5 linked regions of the Oryzias latipes genome follow. The protein of the gene in region 5 purifies or fractionates together with the protein of the main gene of each other region. This does not show direct contact. Links are inferred from orthologs where the notes say so. Each region holds a gene or a part of one and is shown on either strand. Other genes may lie near its edges.

Region 1 (4,221 bases), about 8.6 Mb from region 5:
GAAAGACAGTGGCACGATGGGGTGTGACAATGAAAAAGAACTTGATCTGTCATCCATTTGTATTTTTCGGATTAAAAAAAAATCACTTTTTTCGGATTTGAGAGATCCTCTCCCCTCACAATGATCTTTTTTCCCCATAAGGAAGGGCTCCAATCACGCAGAGCTGTTATTGTGACCCCGCCCACCTATACCCTATAAATAATGCCACTTTTCTGCGTCATGAAAGGGCGATTTAAGTGCATGCCGTAGTGAAAAAAAGTTTGCTATGGCAAAATGAAAATGCAAAAATGAACCTGTGATTTTGAAACTCTTGCTGATGACAGGTGGGGAGAAATGAACGTCTGTGGATGGAACGTGATCGCCCCGTGTGCCCACCTGGTGTTTCTGGTCATGTTTTTGGCGTCACAGAGGCTGACATTTATTTCATTTATTTCATTTATTTCAAACAATTTTATTCAATTCTGTGCAACTTACAGTGTGTTTTCAATCAAGATTTGTGGCATCCCTACTACTTACTAACACTTGAAGTCTCTCTACAATCACTTTTTGATCTATAGTAAAAGCGTTCCCAGTGGTCTTTTAATTATGATTAGGACATTTTTAGCCAAAATATAAAAATCTGTGTCATTTTTAGGACATGCAGTACTTTCTGAAGAGCAGCAGTGGTTCATTAGAAATTCCCCTCCACCCCACTTCCCATCATCCATCTGTTTACACTCTCTCCCATTAGTTTACAGCCCGCCACACCTCCAACCTAACATTACCAGGCCAGCAAAAATGGCAAACAGTTTTGGAGCTATCCAGCCGAATACAGTTTTGAGCCAAATGCCTGCTTGGACGGGGAAAACAAAGACGTACATGGATCTAGTCGTCTACAAGTGGATGCATCAGAATGGAGCGGAGCAGGGAGCTCCTAGCTCGCCGTCTGTACTGTACTGCCTTCTTTTTCAAGGCTGATTCACAACAATTAGACCAAAGAAATTATCAGAAATGCCATTTTAAGCTTAATTTTCTTAATATATGTTGTCCATCATGAGAAATATCTCACAAGAACATGTTAAAAGTACTTTTTTTTTATTGGAGTGGGTATTTTATGAAACCTTTTATTTTTTTTATTTTTTAGAAAAGCCCACCAATAGAGATGGCTTCAGATGAATTTTTGAAAAATCAATTCAGCTTTTTTTTAGCCATTTAGCAAACACTAAGCAGATGAATGAGCCAGCACACAGAACATTTTATTTTTATATTTCGTTTTGCGCTCTTATATCTTCTACATTTATATAGCTAAACATCACACATTTGCTTTAGTGGAGTTCATATTTCCATGTTGTTGTTTGACAAACATATGTGTCTCAAATGTAGTTTGACAGCTTTGATGGTGTCACCCTAAATTGAATTGGTCAATATTCTAAATACAAAGTATAAATAAAGCTCTGTCCGTTCAACCTAATGACCCCACGTGCCAACATTTTGGGAAGGTCTTTCTGAGCATGTGCAGCTGTGTGGAGGGAATAACTCCTGGCAGTGGCAGCCTCTGACTGCGTGACAGAGCAGAGCTTCTGAAACATACCGCAGCGGTTGGATGTCAGCCGTCAGTGTTCCGAACGAGGTGCTGATAGACAAATAGCCGCGCAGGAGCACTGACAGAAAAGAGCCTCACTCGCCTACGCACTCGCAGCGCTAGAAAGCGCCCTAGATTAAGGCCAAGTTATATAACTTGGACTACATTGCTGCTGCTTTCACATCGCATGCGGTGTGTTGTTGTTGGCTATTCGCTGCACCGCCTCAGACGTGGGTTCACAGCAACAACTAAAAGCTAGAAAGTGCTATGATGATGATGATATAAGTCGACGTTTGGGGAAATGATTTGCTAGCTTTGCTCAGAAAACACCGTTAGCTCGGTTCATCAGCGGCCAAAATATGCAGAAATAAAACGCACAGGAAACCAAAGTTTGACATAATGATGCAGGGAAGCAACTAGAAACTTTCTGTCAAAAAGTGATGCCAGACAACAACACGACAGCTCAGACTGTGGAGGGCGGGTTGCAGTTTTCTGTAATAACTGAGTAACAGCAGAAGTTGGGATTTATCTAGCTAGAAATGCTGCATTCACGGTCAACGTTAACAGTCGCCATACCTTGGTATAGTGATGCATTTTGTGTTGATGCTCTGTGTGGTGATAGCTTTCTCGAGTTCATCCAACTGCCCCGTCTTCTTCAGCTTCTTCACCAGACTTTTTACCGCTTTTTCACACCACTTCTCCTCCTGGCCGTTCTGTTCTCCCTTCTTCCAGCCCAAAAGTCTTTTGACGATGGGGGGAGTGAAAGGCAAAATTGACATCTTGAGTTCAGTTAAGTAGTCCGTCCAGTGTCGAGGAATCCGCTGGTTTGGACAAATAAACAAAAACAACTTTGTCCACGACGCTCCAAATAACGGTGCTGCGCGCGTTATAACACTAAATATGAAATATTGCTCATTAAAATCCGCGCACGAGCATCTCTGGGTCAAACACTTGAAGCGCACTCGTCGCCCTGACTCGAGCTAAGCGCCGCACTGCGCACCGGTAGTTTATTGTTCCGTACTAATCCGCCACAAAACCTAGTTCCGTCTCAACTTTTTAAATTCAGAGCAACTAATTTTCTTTCAATATCAGTGTCTAACTGTTTTTCCTATTTGGATACACAATATACAGTAACCGCACTGTGTTACGTTTTCCTCGATAGTTCAACCGTTGAACCATAAAGTTTGGTAAAGTTTAAGTTCATCCGCGGTGCTGTGGCTCGCCGATTGAAGTCTGCTGAAAGTCTGCATCAAATGCAAATGCCGGAGCTGCTGCTGGCACTCTATTCAAGCTGCAGACTGCACAGCAGACCTCTGACAGTCCGGCCCGAGCAGCTGGCCAAAGGGCTTGTGCTGATATGACACAATCTAGGCCTGCTGATGCATCGCATGTGCCAGAATAAGCTGTCACATTCAAACAGACGCACTGCTCCTTCGATTCAGTTATGAAACACAGCTTATTGCACGTGGCTAATCTTACAATTCTTGAAATAGTTTTGTGTAACAGAAATGTTCGCTTGTAGAGTAAGATGTTTAAAAGTTGTGTCAAAATGTATTTGTACCATATTTTCGTGATGTTTTTGTACTTCAAGTTATCATCAACTTCGATTTCAATTAAAATAGGTTTCCATGAAAACAGTTACTTGAAAATGTGTCTGTTTGTGTGTTTATTTAATTCATACTTTATGCTTTTTTTTGTCTTTACTTGAAAGAGCTGCTACATTAAGGTGATAAGAGCCACTGCACACCGGCTCACTATCTACAAACCTGTTCTAACTTGCTTGATTTACAAACTGGTACTCAGGAAGGGTGTTATTTAAGTTGTGGCTTTGCTCTTCCCCCCCTTCCCCAAAACTGGTTCACAGTCAGATGCATCTTTCAATCTCGAAAAGGCATCTACAAGTCCTATATGACACGCAGGTTTGTGCACAAAGCAAAGAGTCAACTGCCAGATTGGCTGTGCACTGATGTGGAGCCCACCACAGAATGTGAAAATGGTTCAGGGTGTGATGTTGCTTTTGTTCTTTGGGCTTCAAAAGCAAGCGTTTACTGTTGTCAAGTACACCTTCCAAATCTGGGAGTCTTATGTCCTTGCAGGGTTGTAAAATTTGCACGTCTTGGTCAAAGAATCTGGTGTCTTGTGTTTTTATTTTCCTCCTGTTTCCTTCAGAGGCATCATTCACAAAAGAGTCATGATTTAGGTATGAGCGAAAAAAGTTCCACAAATGGAAAATAGAAGTGGAGGTTGGCGATGGTATTTAAAGAAAAATACATTAAAAGAGTAGAACTTTAGCTCCGGGTGGATCCTGGCAAAACCCAACTGGTGCGCTGTGATTGGGTCGTAAATTGAATCGTGGTTGTGTCAGAAATTCGTCACCTCTTAGTGCGCTATATATTTGTCATTTTATTGAGCTGTCTGAACCTACTTTTCCAAAATCAGTACCCTAAAAATCTTCCAGAAGATTGCAAAAAAGCTGTGCATTAATGCTCACTAGATTGACAAATAAAGACCACAATGCATTGTGTTTAAACAAATGTTTTCTTTGAAAAAAAAATGCATTTAAATTATTGTTTTGATAATCCATTCAAGTTTTAATCATTAGAACACAGTGGATTCATAAATAGTCTTTGCAAAATGTTCATATTTATTAGGTTTTTTTA
Region 2 (4,194 bases), on a different chromosome or scaffold from region 5:
AAATGCCTCAGTGCAGATTTACTGTTCTCCCGTCATTTTATCTGTAGGGGAATCACTTCCTGCAGGACCAGGAAATCTGATTTCCCTCTAAGTTTGCAGCAGTGAAGTCAGAGCTTGCTGCACAGACATACACTTCATTCAAGTCTGGTCAGGAACGCCGTCATGTGACGGAGGAGCTGAGGGAGCGGCAGGTGTGGAATGTAAGCATGGGCTCTAATGAATGAGCATCTATCTGAGCCGCTGTCTGACATCTACATCCCAATCCGTCTTCTGAGCAGAGACGGCCGCCTTCAGTCGGCTCTAACCTGCAGAAACCTGATCCCGTCTGGCGTCTGCAGCAGAAATCTGCAGCTGTGCTCATCTAAACATCCTAACACAGAAACAGACACTCGTCGCCTGTGCCGGCACATGTGCACCAGCCAGAAACCAGAACTGCAGCCACGGCCCTGAGGCCCCCGAAGAGGAGACGCAGCGGGCAGCCTTAGCTCTGAAGCTCAGTTAAGAGTTTTGAAAGAAAAGTCTGCGAGGAGGGAAGTGTGACAATATGACTTCCTTTGTCTGTCTGCATGCGAGACTTCTGCTCTCACTTCTGTCACCGTGACGCAGAGCCGCCTCTCCAGCTACTGAGATGAAAGAGCCCCTGCTCTGCTCCATTCTGATGCATCCACCTGCAGATCCGTCTTTGGGGTCTCAGCGGAGGCAGCTACAGCCGCGACCCAGAAAACCACACAGGATTTTTGATTTGGGCTAAAAAACTGCCTCATTATAATTGAAAGACCACTGAAAAAAATTCAAAAGATGATTTGAGTGGAACTAAAGAAAAAGGAGTGAGACCCCTGCACACCTCCTGACCAAGAGGAGGACCCCCCCTCTGCAGGACTTTTCTCTGCGCATGATAGGACTCCAGCACTCAGCTGCAGAGGGTCTGCCTCCCCCACATGTCCCCCGAGCTTTAAATCAGATGAGAAGAAAAAGCAGAGCTGGAGTGTGTGTGTGTGTGTGGGGGGGGGGGGGGGGGGTCCCCATGTTTACTGAATGCTCCTCTTTGTTGGGATCATATTATGTTTCCTCCACAATGCTCCCAAAGCCTGCCTCATCAGCTCCATTGATGTGGAACAGTTCATGCAAATGGCCACGCTGGCTTTTTCTCCCCCATGGGGGTGTTGTGTGTGTGTGTGTGGGGGGGGGTCCTACATCGGCCACAACTCTAAGCTAACTCACCACCTCACAGACTCATCAGTCCAGAGCTGCCCCCCCCCCCTGACCAACACTAAGTTACACCTGCAGAAATGTCCCTCGTCATCGCCCCCCACCCCCAAGACAACCCCCACTCTCTAGTGTTTACACTTTCCCGAGAGCCATTTGTTGGCAGACGAGCTTCCATCTACTGTTCTGACCAATAAAGGCTGTTTTAAGGCAATCCAAGAGGCAAATAAGTGTTTTATTGCCACCAGGGAGGGGGGCAGCATTACTAACCACCTGATAGATGAGCAAACACTGACTAAGGGGGGAGGCAGGTCTGTCACGACAACTTTTGTCATGTTTTCTGTAGAACGGAGACGTTGAGACGCGCGCGGCTCACCCTGGACGCAGCTTTCCGTTTGTACTTGTTTGCAAAGTCGAACTTCTCCTTGATCTCGTCCAGGATCTGCTCCAGGCGCGCCTTCTCCTCTTTGCCCGTGTAATCCTGACTCAGGAGGATGTACGCCCTCCAGTTCGCGGAGTCGAAGCCCCAGTGGCAAGTCCTGTTCTCCTGCGCCTTGTGGCTGTGCACCACGAACTTGTGCGTCGGGTACATGAGTCTGCAGTCCAAGCACTGGATGCACGCCGCGCTCGGGCTGCCGTACAGCTCCGGCACCAGCAAGCCCTTGCACTTGCCGAAACACTCGTGGTAGACTTTGAAGCTCCTGTCGGTGAGCTGCAGCTCCAGCGCCCCCGCGCCCCCCAGCTCCTTCTTGGCGCGCGGCGGGAAGGCTCCTCCGTAGATCAGGGCGTTGCAGAGCCGCTCGGCGTCCGTCTTGGTGATGAGGCCGCAGGACGGCGCGGAGAACGGCAGGATCCCCATGACTTTGAGGATCTCCAGCTGGTCCGCCGTGCAGCGGGAGCAGTAGATGTGCAGCTCGTCGCACACGGAGTTGATCTGCTGCAGGCTGAAGTCCCGCAGCACCGTGTTGAGGATCTGCGGCAGGCACAGGCGCTTCTCGCCGCCCACCACGAAGCACGAGATGGTCTCGCCCTCCAGCACCGTCTCGCACCTCTCCGTGGAGCGGTCGGACGGAATGAAGAGCGGGCCCGGCATGACGGGCGGCGGCAGATGCTGCAGCGCCGGCTCGGGCTCCTTCCCGTCCTTCTTGAAGAGGAGCTCATGCTGCCACCGGGCGGAAAACGCCGCCGGGCCCCCCAGAGAGATCATGGAGCTGAGGTGGAACTGCTTCAGAGTTTGCTGCAGTCCCGGATGAGGCTGGAAGCTCTGCCGACTTACAGCCTCCATGCTTTCCCTGCAACTTTACTGATCCGCGGAGCTGCTGCTGCTGCTGCTGCTGCTGACCGGGAGTCCCGAAAACGGATCCGTTCCTGAAGCTGGAAAATCCACGGCGTCCCGCAGTGACTCGAACCCACCAGGCGCGTCATCAAACACCCGCTCTGAGGAGAGGAAAGTCCGGGACTCAGAGCGCAGCCGGACCGGCCGCTCCGTCCGTCCGTCGGGCTGCGCGCCGCCTGTGCGCCTCTGAGGCCGGAGAGCAAACTCCGGAGAGCCGCCGAGTTCCGCGCGCCTGCTTCCGCGAGCGCACCTGAAGGGAGGGGGGACAAATCCCGTCTTAGGTTCCTCTGCTGTCGAGGACTGCGCCGATCCGTTGCGTGTGCCCCCGCAGTTCAGTCTGACAGTGCGGGGGGTGAGGTCTGAGAGCAGGCTGCGCGCGCGCCCTCCCTGCGCCGTGCGCGCCCCCGCGCCCCCGCCCCCTCCGTGTTTGTGTCTGGCTCAGTCATTGAATCCCGGCCAGGAATGCGACTGACTCCGCAGGCACGAACGCCCCCCCCCTCCCCCAAGAGGCGCGCACGCGCAGGAGCACACACAGAAGCGTGCGCAGATATCCTCGTGAGGACTTTCACAGTGAAGCTCGCAGGACGTCCCGTTGACTTCTGTCCATTTCCTTATTCTGATTTAAACTTCACGAGCTGACGGCTTGCCCCGCCCTTAGTCACCGCGGTGGGGACCGCTCCGTGGCCCCCCAGGGGGCCGTTGTTTCCATCCTCCACACCCTCAAACCCATGTTCAGGTTCCAGGGACCCTACATCAGTTCTTTGGCTTTTTACCCCTAAACTCAGACTCTTGGTCTTGAAAATGGATTATTTGGACACCCACTCCCCCCTGGACCAGAGAAGAACCACTGATGTTTGATACTTCGCTGAGCGGTGAACACTGGACCACTGGACCACTCTACAAACCAGTAGAGTGGAGTGGAGTAAAGCTGGTCTAGGAAGCCGGAGGTTCCTGTCACCTTGGTCATCAAATGGTTCTAAAGCTGACTAAAGAAACGCTTAGATCAGGTCTAACTCCTCAAGAACTCCTCACCTTTGAGAACCAGGACTAGTGTAAAAACTGAGCAGCAGTTGGAGCAAGCAAGCAAAGCTAAGCTGCAACCCAATCACACACAGACACAAGAAGCCCCCCCCCCCCCCCCCCCCCCCCCGTTCATACACAGTTCACCCTCATCCTTCAAATGTAACCCGCGAGACTTCAACACTTTGAACTTCGGCTCTGTAAGGTCAGGTCCTCTTAAGGTAACAAATTCAAGTACACACATGCAGGGAAAGGGGGGGGGGGGGGGGCTCTGAGCTTCACTCATGGACTGGATATAAAACTGGACTAAGCAGTGGGACATCACCCTCTCCTCTGGCTCCAGCAGAATGAAGCCAATTCAGTCAGCATTCTTCTGTGAAACAGGCGTCGCCTTTTGGAGCCAGACGACAGTGGTTGGTCCGAGTCGGTCTGTCATGTTTCTAGGGCAACTGCTGTCACCAATCAGGAGTAGGCTTGTCTGAAGTCCAAACCCTTCCACTAAAAGCCTGTCAGATCTATTTGTCAATCAAATGTTCAAGGTGGGGGCCAGCGGGCACTGCATACTTTTACTGAGGCATCTGATTGGTCAGTGTATCCCTTGTGCTATCCTAGCCACTTGGGCTAGGGAGTTG
Region 3 (3,690 bases), on a different chromosome or scaffold from region 5:
CGCTACCGAACCGCCCACCAACTTTCCCCGCGTCGGTGTGGGAGCGCTGAACGCCGCCGCGCGCTGTCCCACAGCTGAGGCTGGCCTCAGAGGTGCATCATGGGAAATAATAGAATGGAGGCATTGATTACATTCACTAAGATCTGGGCGGGCAGAAGTGTGATAGAGAGGCTGAGATGAAGGAGGGTGGGGCTTAAAGAGTAAAAGAAGGGGTCTAGCAAACAGAGGGGGGGTCCAACAGCTGTAGACGTGACTCATCACTGGAGGGGGGGTCACTAACCGCCCGTTTATCACCATCAAATGTGTGTGTGAGATCATTTTTGTACAGGTGTGTTTCATACAAATGAAAAGTCGTCACGTTTTCTTTTGTTCTGTTCACATAAATGCTGAAAAACTTCCAGCTGATCTGGAATCTCAGAGTAAATGTTGGTTTTAGAATCAAACCTTTTTTCTCACTGTAATAAAATCAAATGGAGACTTTTGTAAAAACAAACGTTGGTCTCAAACTGGAACTCCGGCGTTTGTCAAACAGAAGCAGCATTTCATGGACGTGTTTGGTTCTGAACCGCTGTCTGCTCACTCACCCACTGGGGGCTCGTCCGGGGCTCTGTGGCCGTAGTGCTGTCTGAGCAGCGCCCCCAGCATGTCGGGGTTCACCTCCGCCTCCCTCCGCAGGGACACGTTGGGCGCCACCATCTTATCGTAGGTGTACAGGTAGTAACTGCAGAGAAAAGGAGACGCATGACAGCATAAAGATGAAGCAGCTGCTCTGTTTGCTTTGGTGGGGGGGTCCACCACTCAACCTCCAGCCAGTCTTTTAGCTCCTCCAGAGGAGACTACAGGCCCTCACTTCCTGTTTGTGTGGGCTGCACGCCAAGAAGAGGGGCGCTGAGACTCCCTGCCCCCCAAGGGAGGCTGCAGCACTGAACCAGGTGAAGCCTGACAGCTCAGTGGCTCTGCTGCCCCTCCCTGTGCCCCCCACCCCAAAAAAGAACAGTTCTCAGATGTCAGCAGAGACCTGGCCCCCCTCCCCCCTCTCTGTGCACAGAGGCTGCCAGGTGACCAGACCCCCCCACACACACTCTGACGTCAGTCATCAACCACAGCAGCATAAACCCCGAATTCTTGGCTGTAATCCCAGTCAGATTAATGGGGGGGGGGGGGGGGGGCTCCTCCAAAAAACAAACTTCGAATAAACAGTTTTCTATGGCAAAGACTCCATTACCCAGAAGCCTCAGCAGCACAGGTCTGATCATGTTGTCCCCATGAAAAATGGAGTCTGATTCTGAACGTCAGGGCGTCTGCAGCCAGAGGCATGATGGGAACCTGAGTGTCTTTTGTGAGCGAGTCAGGTGCAGTACCTGGGATGGACCAGGGTGGGGGGTCCTGGCTCCTCCTTGATGTCTGGGAAAACATGGCTGTAGAGCAGAGCGGGGGGAGACGGTTTACCCTGTGGAGCACAAATCATACAAACTGGGAATGTGACACAACAGCAACAAAAAAGACTTTATAAGACACAAAAGACAGAGAAAAAGTCACACACACACACACACACACAAAGACGGTGAGAGGTACAGATGTAGACCGTAGGGGGCGGGGCTTTGACTGACCTTTCTGGCAGGTTCAGCATCGTCCAACTTATTAACAGAGCAGAGATCTGCAGAGTTCTTCCTCACGCGGCCCTCCTCTTCCTCCCCCGTCTTCTGATGTACGGAGAGAAACAGGACATAGGTCAAAGGTCAGACATTTGCTGCAGAGACAGGAAGTGAGAAAGATGGTTCCTGATATTCTACTGAAAATAAATATTCCGGAAACTGTTCACAGAAACGATTTTCAAAACAGGTCAGAGGTCAGACAAATGCCACAGAGACAGGAAGTGACCCCGGAACCGTGGCTGCAGGGAAACAAAACGGACTGAAAGGTTTGGACGGATCCAGACCCGATGATGGTTTGATGATCAGCGGTTTGGTGAACGCTGCAGATGAAGCGCCTCCGTGTTTTAGACTGGAGACGACCCTTTAGACAAAGGAGACGGACTACACGTCCAACTGGGGCGTCTGACACAGAAAAGGCGTGAAAAAGGGTGACCTCAGCGCAGAGGAGGCGGAGACCAGAAGAGCAGAAGGTCAAAAGGAGGCATGGCGAACGCCTCCTAACAGACAGAGGAGGTCCGTGACAGACATGAGGGTCTTCATCATCAGAAGGAAGGAGCATGAAAACTACGCAGGAAAAGTCCTGTGACCTTCTGAGCGAGCCTGCCAGATCAGAATGAGGGATTTTCACAATAAAACCATCAGAATGAGGGATTTTCACAATAAAACTGATCAATCGGCAGTGAGACAAAAATCTATAGAGAGATAATCTGCAGAGCCCCCCCCCCTCCACAGACATGTCGAGTGCGTCAGAACATGCGCCCCCCCCGGCTGCAGGTGGGCCGGAGCACAGGCGGGGGCTCGTCCGTCTGAAAATACTTGTGGTTGGAGGTTTTTCCTTTTTTCCATCCAGGAGGCAGCACTGCAGAGCCGCCAGGGAGGAGGGGGGAGGACAAAAGGAGAAAACAACACTGCGGTGGAAGTTCTGTGGAACCCCCCCCCAGCAGGGATTTTACACTTTGTGTGATTCCCGTTTGTCCTCGTGCATGTGCACGTGCGTGTGCATGTGACAGTAAACCAAGAATGTCAGAACACTACCACCCACACACGTTTATAGCAGAGCAAAGAGCGTGTTGATAATGAGCACATGCACTGCTGTGGCGTGGGGGGGGGGTCACTGTCAGGTGAGCAGGAAGGGCGGCGGGAAACAGGAAGTTTAGGTGTCACCATTCGTTCATGTCTCAGAGGTTGTGGTTTCTGTCTGAACCCTACAGTTCATGACCTAAGTGCAGGTTCTGACCCAGGACGGCCCACTACAAACACAACCCCCCCCCCAAAGGATGAGCACTTCTTTGTGCCCCCCTCCCCACACACACCTCCTGACAAAGGCAGATCCCACTCCGCGCTGAACTCTGCTGTTCTTAATCACCTGCAGTCTGTCGGCTTCACACGCATCACCCCCGAGCGCCGCAGACACACGCCGCCATGTGAACTTCAGTGACCCACTTCCACGGCGCACGTGACATTTCTGCAGCAGGCGCTCATGCAGAGGCAGGAGCTGCAGGAACATCCGTGACTCTGTCTGTGTGTGTCTGCGGTCATTTCTTCAGTTTGGGACCAGAGGACTCGTCCTCCTCTCAGAAAGCAGGAGGAGGCCCCGGCTGGACGCTACACCCCTGAGGCAGAGGAGCCTTTGACACAAACCGACACAGACGGAGGTCCAGCCCCTACGTGGTCACGTGGACTCCCCTCACGCACAGAGACGCTGTGCTATAAACAGAGATGGTATCTCCATACGTGCACGGTAACGGACAGACGTGCACGCACTTTCCTCACAGAAACCTGAGATCAAGCAGAGATCCGGTTCAGAGCAGATCCTTCATGAAGCTCAGAACTACAGAGACCAGGAACCACCTTAACATCAGAGTTCTGTCGCCGACCCCCAGATGAACACCCCCCCTGGAGGAGCAGCATGGTTTCTGCTGGCCCTCCCCACACAGACTGATGTGGGAGAACGAATCCAGAAAGTCATTTATTGGAGGACGTGAGACGCCAAATCCATAAAAAGACGACAAATGTTTACAGCTTAGCTTTTGTC
Region 4 (4,472 bases), on a different chromosome or scaffold from region 5:
GCTGTTTCTGCGCCCATGGAGGCTGAGATGATCAGAAATAAGAGATAATTAAAGACGAGGGTTTGGTCTTCAAAGCGGATGTAACCCATGACGATGCTGTGGCCTGCTGCCACACGGGGGCCCGGGTCAAGTCAGAAAACAAGTGTTGGGTGGTGGTGGTGGTGGAGGGGGGGGGCAATCACTTTGAGTGGAGAAAAGACCCCCCTCCCTCCCAAACACACACCGCAAACCCCACTCTTAATCTACTGATCATTCCATCTGATAAAGGCTGACTGGCTCCAGACTCTGTTGTCTGTCTCTCTCAGCACTGTGGTTCACAATAGATAGATGGACAGACCACCCCCCCAACCCCACCCCCAACTCAGACATGCACACAAGCCCTGGTGACATGCCAGTCAGTCCATAGCTGGTATCTCAACTTCGTATTGCCTTGCCCTGGCTGCTAGCCACATTAGAATTGGCCAGCCAGCCAGGCGTGTCACTCTGCCCCCCCCCCACACACACACAACTCCCCATAAATCACAACACCATTTCCTGCAGAGGACACCAACGTGAAGTGCAGCTCATGACATCACTTCAAACATGCATATTATTGCACAAACAAACAAACAAAAAGCAATGACTTAGGAAATATCCATGTGAAATGATGCATCAAGCTCACCTGGTGGTTTCAAATAGTCCATGGGATATCGCGAATAAGGAGGAGGAGGAGACTCTGTGTGGAGGAGGAGGGGGGGAAAGAAAAAAAACTGCATGAGAAAAGAAGAGGAAGAAAAAAAACACAAAGGAGAGATCTGAACTTTCTGATAAGAGTTGTCATTCTTCAGGGGAGGGCTGATTTGTGCCTGTCAGCTCCGCCTGGAGAAGCAGGCAGTGAGGCTGGCCGGGCGGCTATTGCCTTTCATTGGCAGGCAGATAAACAGGGGGCCGCCTGGCGCCAGAAGGGCCACTATCAGCGTCTAGGACAAACTGAGATACGGGCCTCTTTTGGCCCGGGACGCCAAGCAAGCACACACACACATAAACACACACATTTCAAGACTGGAGAGTCTTTCTGTACTTTGGATGCCAATTATGAAATGTTGAAATTCTTAACAGGGGTGTTTGGAAATCTGAAACCGCGACAATGCGTATAGCTGAGGAGGATTTGAGTTTTGGAAAAAAAAAATCAAATGGAACAATTAATTAAAGTAGGTTTCTATTCAAACTCGACCACCAAACCTGCTAAAAGGATCTGGCACAGCTTCAGATCAATGGAACCTGAAGACCACTGTGCCAGAGAGGTGTTGTCATTAGAATTAGGTTAATTGGCACAGTCTTTTTCAGCCTTCTCTCCACCTAGGACCTCATTTTTTTGGAGTTTTTTTTAGTGAAAATATTGAAGCTCACCGAGTTCACAGAGCCTGCTCATGTGGTGAGGGTTGCAGCAAACGAGCTCGGGGTTGGCTTTCCCGTAAGATTCACAGCACGACAGCCTCTTCAGCTCCGAGGAATGCCTGAGGTCCGGCCACCTGAACACTTTGTAGAGCAGCATGGGGAGGGAGTAAGACTGTTGACCCACTTTGGCGTCCACTTTGCTGGGCAGGAGAAGGCAGGGGCTCCGGACGCCCCCCTTGGACTCCACCGCCTGCAAAAGCACCTCTAATTGTTTTTCTTTGATCTTTTTCAGTACCGAGTGGGTCAACGCCTTCAATTCGGCCTCCGACCCCGCGTTGGACTTGGCCACTTTTGTCGCTTTGCCCATGCAGCAGCCCCCGGAGCCATGCGTCCCTCTATCCGTCTCCCCGTCGCCCTCCACGGGCGCACGGCTCCTCCAGAGTCGCCGGACGAGCCCCGATCGTTTGGTCCTAAACATGCGGGACGAAAAGAGGGTTTCCCGGCTAAAAAACGAGCATGGTGTCCGCAAATCATGAAGATTCCGGGATCCGAGTCCAGGCAATGACAAGCAGCCTGAGAGAAAACGGTGGAAAAACTGGGAGCTGGAGAAGCAGAGGAAATCTATAGCATGCGCCAGTCTCTGAAGCTGTTTTTCCTGCAGAAAGGTCACCAGAAAGCGCTCGAGGTTGGCGGGACAGCCAACGTTTCCACGATCAGAATACAAAAAAAAAAAAAGATCACATCTATGAGCTTAGAAACACCAAACCGGAGCAGGAAACCTGCAGCAGCGGAGCTGCGTGAAGCCCGAATGCGTTACAGTTTTGTGCAATCCGGCGCTGTGAACTGACCCCTTTAAAAAAACGCCGTGACGGTTTACAGCGGGGGGAAAAACGCTGTCAGAAATGTTTATTCAAGTCACAACTAACTGGTACTTATAAGAAAAACCTAAGGCCTAATTAAGCCTCAACGCTGGCGCAATCATCCCATGAAAAAGCGAAGCTCTCCGCCGCGTCTTGAGTAGCATAATCCACAAAATCCTTCATCCGAGCGCACGAACTGGGGCTCCCCACCTTTAAATGTATATTTTAGTATGTAGTGGATGAGGTCTTCTGGTAAAATAGTGAGCCAAGGAGAAAAAAATCCAGGTCTCCCACCGGAGTTGAGTCGCGTTTGTAAAGCCACAGCAAGACCCTCCGTTTTTCTTTTTCTTTTTTGCGTCCACGCAGCGAGCCTGCTTTTAGCAATCCCTCCAGATAAAATAATCCAAAATCGTATCTCTCACGGAGTTTCCGTGGCTGAGCGTGGAGGAAAGCGAGCAGACAGCTGATCTGGTCCGGGCTAAAGGGCTCTCTGTCTGTAAATGAGGCGGATGGTTTGGGTGCCCTTGCTCCGTCTCCAGTCTCCAGTGCGCATTGACGCGCCCGGTCACGTGTGTGTCTAGACACCCTGTCGCTTAAAAGAAATGTGATTGTGTTGCGCAAACAACAGATCAAGTAGAGCCCACGGTGCACACACACACACAAGCGCGCGCGCGCACTTAGAAAACACAAATGAGAAAGTTTACGCCACAAAAGTTTAATATTTGCAGAAAAAAGAACAACATTAAAAAAATTTCTCAGTTAAATTATTTAGTAAATCTGCAGATTTTTTGGTTTGCTTTCAGTCCTAAAATAATGTTTATATATATATATATATATATATATATATATATATATATATATATATATATATATATATATATATATATATATATATATATATATATATATTCAATCATTAATTTCACGCTTGTACTGAATAAGCAGTAAATACGTGTTTCATCGTTAAAGCTATGAATCAGTTTAATATATCTTCATAGCTTTTCGCCACTGTTGCCATGGTGATCACACAGGGCAGTTTTATTGTTTTGGAGAGTTTATGGCTGGAGTTGAATTTAGGAAGTGAGCCACAGTGCTGACTCCTTCGGGGGAGCTCGTTGCTGCCCCCCATCGGACATGTTCGGTACTACACACACAAAGAGTTCCCACCCATCTTTATTTATCCAGCAGATCAATCCATCAGCTGAGGATCAAATTTGTCTTTTCTTGTCTTTTTAACATGTGCCAGCCTTCCTTCTGTGTCATTGCCCTCATGGAATCCATATTAATTATAACAGACTTATATATGTCTGGAATTTAGCTCAATGTTGGTGCCAAAAATGTACAAATACAGCTTGATGGGGAACACTCACTGTGATGTCTCACTTCAAACCCAATAAATTTAACACGTTTTAGGAGAAATTGTTCTTTTAAACAGAAATGAACCGTTTCTGGTCTGCAGACTTCCCTCGACAGACAGTAGTCCCGGGGAGGAGATGCAGTCAGCAGTATGTTAATATGACAGAGTTGCTGCAGGGCATGGGGGTGGGCGGCAGATAATGATGGTGGCAGAGATGTGTGGGGTTGAGGAGGGGTGTGTGTGCATGCGTGGAGGAGATGGAGAAAGATGGGGGAGGAGGTGGGGTGTGTGTGTGTATGTGTGTGTGTGGGGGGGGGGGGGGGTATCAGTCGTTTATCCCCCCCGTATTGTTCCCCCGGATCCCCAACTGGCGCCGAGGAGGAGCGCGCCACTGCAGCCCCAAACCGAGCAGAGGGACTGCGGCGCGTTCCTGGAGGAGTCTGGAAGCAATCAGTCAGGGGTGGGGTGGGGGAAAGGGGGTCTGTCAGGGGGGCTCTGTGGAGGTGCCTGCTGCTGCTCTCGTGCGCTGTCCCCTCCCCTATCCACCAATCTGCATGCCCTTCCCTTTGTTTGCATGAGACCAGTCTCCAGACTCCAGGAAGTAGACACTTTTATCTAACCGTTTGCCATCTCGGGCTGCCTGAAGAGTCTGTCTGCAGGCTGTGGAGCGGGGCTGTTTTCAATAAAAACTGTGCTCTGAGCTGAGACCCGTGTTTTTATTTACCCTTCAAGACAAAGTCTGCAGACGCAGAACATTTAGCTGCTCATTTAAAGACCCATTCCATTGTATTTTTTATCATGTTCTTGTGGCATTTTTTTCTCATAATGGAGGGCATTTATAAATGAAATTAAGATTAAAGATGGTTTTCTGAGTTTTT
Region 5 (4,281 bases):
TCAATGCAAAAGAACCTGTGAGACACAAAACACTTCAGCTGGATCTCATCCAAAAAAAGTCTTCAAAAGCAAACCAAGCAGACTCCTCAGAAAGATCTCAGCTCAGATCTGAACCACTAGCTGGCTCTGTACTACCCTGTCATTTTAACTTTACTCAATGAAACTTCTACCAGTTTATTGTTATACTGCTAACCAATGTTTCTACACGAAAACTGACAGTGTTCAATAAAAGGAAATGGGGGAAAAAATGACTAAAGCAATACCCACAGTATTTTCAGGTCCTAATAGAAAATTATTTAAAGACCTGCTCTGATGAAAATGGTGTTTTTGGTGATAATGTGTTGTTCTGCCATTTTTCTCATGATGGAGAACATATATAAAGAAAAGGAAGTGCAGAATTGCATTTCTGAGTATTTCTTTAGTCAAACTGTTGTGAATCAGGACCAGACAAAAAAAATGATGTTGGAAAAAGCTTGTAGCTATGACACAGAACCTACGACAAGCCACAAGCTCCATGCTCCACCTTATTCTGATGCTACATTCACGGCAGGTATGTCTTCCAAAATACGCAATACGCGTTTTCATGAAATCACGTTCAGTCCATGGTATTCACATCAGACAAGCATCATCTGAGTATCATGTAATTCCGGCTGGGCATAAACCACAATTATTGATTTCTCCTCCATGATCACGTTTAGAATGCTTGGCACATCGTGTTTTGAAAATGACGCTCCCCACACATCACCACCAAATCCGAGTCTCTGGTTGGTCAAAGTTTAGCTGTATGATGTTCAAGCAGTGGAAGGTTCAGATGAATGAACTTTCAGCGTGCGTTCCGGGAGCCCATTGACGGTATATTATAACTGGACGAATGGCGTGTGACATCACCCATAGAAAATGCTTTGATTCTGGTTCCAACCAATGAAGTCAATTCAATTGCCATTTTTCCCTTAATGTGTCCGCCGCCGTGTTGGAACCAGACTGCAAGAGCAAGAATAGCCATTCAAACATTCTGAATGAGTAATAGCTGTTTATTTCTTAAAATAAATTTATGGGATTTTGGCTTTTTGGGACCAGCGGGTACTTCCTATTTGGAACGCACAGGGGGGAGGGATTGTTCAGCTGTTTACAGGCTTTTACATAGACTTTTCCTCGAAAGTGGCTGTCTGAACGTGAGTTGACGCAGTCGGTGTGACTGTAGCTTCATGCATCCCACTGTGGACGATTTGATTCGTGAACGTCTTTGTTTTCTTCGTCTGAGCCGACATCCGGCTCAAAACGGTACGACTGGATAGCTCCAATATTGTTCACCATTTTTGTTGCACTAGTAATGTTATGTTGGGGGTGTGAGGGGCCGTAAGCTAGCCAGAGAGGGTATGGGGGGAGACTTACGGAGCGCTGACAATCCAGGCCACTATTCAGAGGTGAATTATTGATGAATTGTTGCTGCTCTGCAGAAACTATGTCCTAGAAAATGACACAGGTTATAGGATTTTGCCTAAAAACAGCATAATTATAATATAGGCTCTTTGAAAATAGATCAAAAGATGATTGGAGTGGGACTTTAAATATAGGTTCCAGCTTTAAAATAGTACAAGTTAGCATTTTTAATTGGCACAACCTCAGTACTACAAGAGGATCTCAAATCTCATTTGTCAGACGTTTCTGGTCCGCATTGATATGTTGGACTTGCACATTAAGTGGATGTTTTCTCAGTTCATTTAGTTAGTAAATACATTCACTTCACCTAAAGATGAGACCCCCCCCCCCCCCTCAAAGCTGTAAAAATGGCAAGTTAAGTGAATTAAATCATGAAGCATATCACACACAGCTCTCTTAAAAGCAAAGTTGTAGGAGAGAAATGCGAAATGCCAGAGAAAAAGCTGCGCAATGACAGGCATGGAGCCGAGGGCCTCAGAGAGGAACCCTCAAGGGGAAAACTAAACATCGATGCAGAATAACCGGGTGTTTTTATATTTGCCTTATGCGCAAATACGAGCGGATAACTTTGAACAAGTTGGACATGCTACTGTCACATCAAGTCGGCCTTGCCAACGTAACATTTTGGTGTCACTGAAGTGGCACAAGTACAGCAGCTCCTGAGCTGAGCTCTGCCGTCCGACCGCTTCTGTCTGTGCAGCAAAATAAAATGACCAAGTGCAAGTCCTCTGATGAGGCGAGCAAAACGCCAATGGAACCGGACTGACATCGAGCTGAAAGCAAAGGCTTTGCATAGTTTCTACAACGCTAAACAATTCTAATAAGCCAGCTGTCCGTATGTATGTCTGTGTCCCACAAACGTTGCTAAAGTGACTGAGGCCAAAGTGATGTTATATCAAAATAACTAGGATACATATAAGCATAGTTATTCATTAATATTAAATTATTCGATATATCGGGTGTATGTCCAAATGAAGAACATGAAGAATATTTCAGACAGAAGACAACAAAGACACCACGTACTATAGTCTAAGACCTTGTTTTAAAAATATGTCATCATCTTTTTTTCTCTGTCTCTCATTTAAAGATGTAAAATCCCAAAGGAAAGCTGTGGCTAACGTTAAGAGCAGATTTGTTTGTAAATATGTTGACTCTTCCTGCATTACGATGCGCCAACAAAGAAATCGCAGCCAGAGGAAGGCAGTGGCTGGGATTGTGAAACTGACAACAGTCCCAACCAGAGCCGAGAAACAAAATCAGGCAACGGGGCCTGGGTAGCGGCGAGCTAAGCTAAGGCTAGCTGCACTCCACTGGTCAAATATTCGACTATATTGAGTAATTCTGATCTATTAAAAGCTTCTGACAACCTCAAAAATATGCTATAACCTCTCTATCATGTTTTTGTCTTAGAAAATAGAAGTGGCTCACTGTTTGCCCTCGACGAAGTTCCATTCCAGCCTTGCGAGACATTCACTGTTGTTTACCCAGCAGGTTGTCTGCTGGAAGGCTACGGCTAAAGCCTCTGCGTTTCCCGCACAGCCGCACGGGGGCGTCAGAGATCCCAACCTGCGAGCAGAATTTTTACGACGCTTTGCGACAGTTCGTCTCCTTTCTTTCTCTATTTTAAAACAGTCCCGAATGGTTACGGTACATACACCGATACGATAGCTAATATTTGCATTCAGAGAATTTTTGTTTATTATTTTTTTTTCCAAGAGAAAAAAAATCTTATATTTCTTAAAATAAAATAACTGAAGTCTTTATACGTATCATTGATTTCAATGGACGTCGTCCATGTACAATACCACAGCACCCTCTAGTGGATCAATTTGAAATAAACAACAACAAAAAATAACACAACTCCCTAATTTATTTGGATTGATGGTTTATTACAAACTAAATGAAATTATCAGATTTTAAGATAATGTCATATTATGGAATGTTTACCTGGAGAAAATTAGATTTTTAATTTTATGCCAAATATCTTTCCTACCAACAACAGTTAATACTGTTTGTCAATTGGAAATCAGAGTCAGCTTGCAAGATAAATAAATTATATGTTTTCATGGGAATTCTTTCTCAGAGAACGTTTCTTTTATCATTAAAATTTATCATAAACATCTCTTGTACACAACATATTAATAAATATGCGGTTGACAGACTTATGATCAAATTTGATAAATTTGGGAAAAACAAAACCGTAGAACACATTTGTAACTATGACGACATGTAAATATTTTATAATCTAAGGGCAATTCCTTAAGTAAATCCTAACTTCCATAAAAAAAAAAAATTACTTTTTATGTCTCTAAAGGGTTTTTTGTGAAGGTGCCTTAACAATAATGGATCCCATGTCAGTGTGGAATCAAGTCTTCCGTTATCCTGTATATTCTGTATCACAATTTTGCTTTTTTTTTTTAGTCTTTTCATTTCCTATGCTGCTTCTACTTAATCAGTGCAGTCTGTCAGTTGTAATTGTTATAGTGAATGGAGCACATTCAACATCAACAAACCATGGTTCACTGCTAAGCTGAGGCAACTACGTCAGGACAAAGAAGAGGCCTACAGGAGTGGTGATTGGGACCGGTACAAGGAAGCCAAGAATAAGCTGACAAAGGAGATCAAGGCCACAAAGAGGACCTACACTGCAAAGTTGACATACTAGTTTTCTGCCAACGACTCTACTGCAGTTTGGAAAGGCCTGCTGACCATCACCAACTACCGGAGACCATCCCCCCGCCCCTCAGACAGTTACCACCTTGCTGAGGAGCTTAACGACTTCTACTAAAGGTTTGAAAGAATTTAACCGTCCCCCTCAGCCATCATTTCCATCACACAGGA

What was found.
Region 1: the proteins of rnf111 (region 5) and mothers against decapentaplegic homolog 3 purify together in Homo sapiens (affinity purification with western blotting; 5 studies listed by BioGRID). This does not show direct contact. The link is inferred for Oryzias latipes from reciprocal best matches to the Homo sapiens genes RNF111 and SMAD3.
Region 2: the proteins of rnf111 (region 5) and ski purify together in Homo sapiens (affinity purification with western blotting, with the first as the bait; 3 studies listed by BioGRID). This does not show direct contact. The link is inferred for Oryzias latipes from reciprocal best matches to the Homo sapiens genes RNF111 and SKI.
Region 3: the proteins of rnf111 (region 5) and skil purify together in Homo sapiens (affinity purification with western blotting; 3 studies listed by BioGRID). This does not show direct contact. The link is inferred for Oryzias latipes from reciprocal best matches to the Homo sapiens genes RNF111 and SKIL.
Region 4: the proteins of rnf111 (region 5) and smad7 purify together in Homo sapiens (affinity purification with western blotting; 3 studies listed by BioGRID). This does not show direct contact. The link is inferred for Oryzias latipes from reciprocal best matches to the Homo sapiens genes RNF111 and SMAD7.

Annotation. Positions count from the first base shown.
Region 1 is NC_019861.2:12,649,816-12,654,036, forward strand, and holds the start of mothers against decapentaplegic homolog 3, read right to left. Parts: upstream 2,855-4,221; 5' UTR 2,341-2,854; coding exon 2,138-2,340; intron 1-2,137. UniProt on the Homo sapiens protein: Receptor-regulated SMAD (R-SMAD) that is an intracellular signal transducer and transcriptional modulator activated by TGF-beta (transforming growth factor) and activin type 1 receptor kinases.
Region 2 is NC_019865.2:32,981,657-32,985,850, reverse strand, and holds the start of ski (ski oncogene), read right to left. Parts: upstream 2,931-4,194; 5' UTR 2,492-2,930; coding exon 1,583-2,491; intron 1-1,582. UniProt on the Homo sapiens protein: May play a role in terminal differentiation of skeletal muscle cells but not in the determination of cells to the myogenic lineage. Functions as a repressor of TGF-beta signaling.
Region 3 is NC_019875.2:30,153,003-30,156,692, forward strand, and holds part of skil (ski-like protein), read right to left. Parts: intron 1,704-3,690; coding exon 1,611-1,703; intron 1,451-1,610; coding exon 1,362-1,450; intron 722-1,361; coding exon 585-721; intron 1-584. UniProt on the Homo sapiens protein: May have regulatory role in cell division or differentiation in response to extracellular signals.
Region 4 is NC_019870.2:9,759,887-9,764,358, forward strand, and holds the start of smad7 (mothers against decapentaplegic homolog 7), read right to left. Parts: upstream 2,808-4,472; 5' UTR 1,856-2,807; coding exon 1,390-1,855; intron 716-1,389; coding exon 662-715; intron 1-661. UniProt on the Homo sapiens protein: Antagonist of signaling by TGF-beta (transforming growth factor) type 1 receptor superfamily members; has been shown to inhibit TGF-beta (Transforming growth factor) and activin signaling by associating with their receptors thus preventing SMAD2 access.
Region 5 is NC_019861.2:21,227,827-21,232,107, forward strand, and holds the start of rnf111 (E3 ubiquitin-protein ligase Arkadia), read right to left. Parts: upstream 2,977-4,281; 5' UTR 2,869-2,976; intron 1-2,868. UniProt on the Homo sapiens protein: E3 ubiquitin-protein ligase. Required for mesoderm patterning during embryonic development. Acts as an enhancer of the transcriptional responses of the SMAD2/SMAD3 effectors, which are activated downstream of BMP.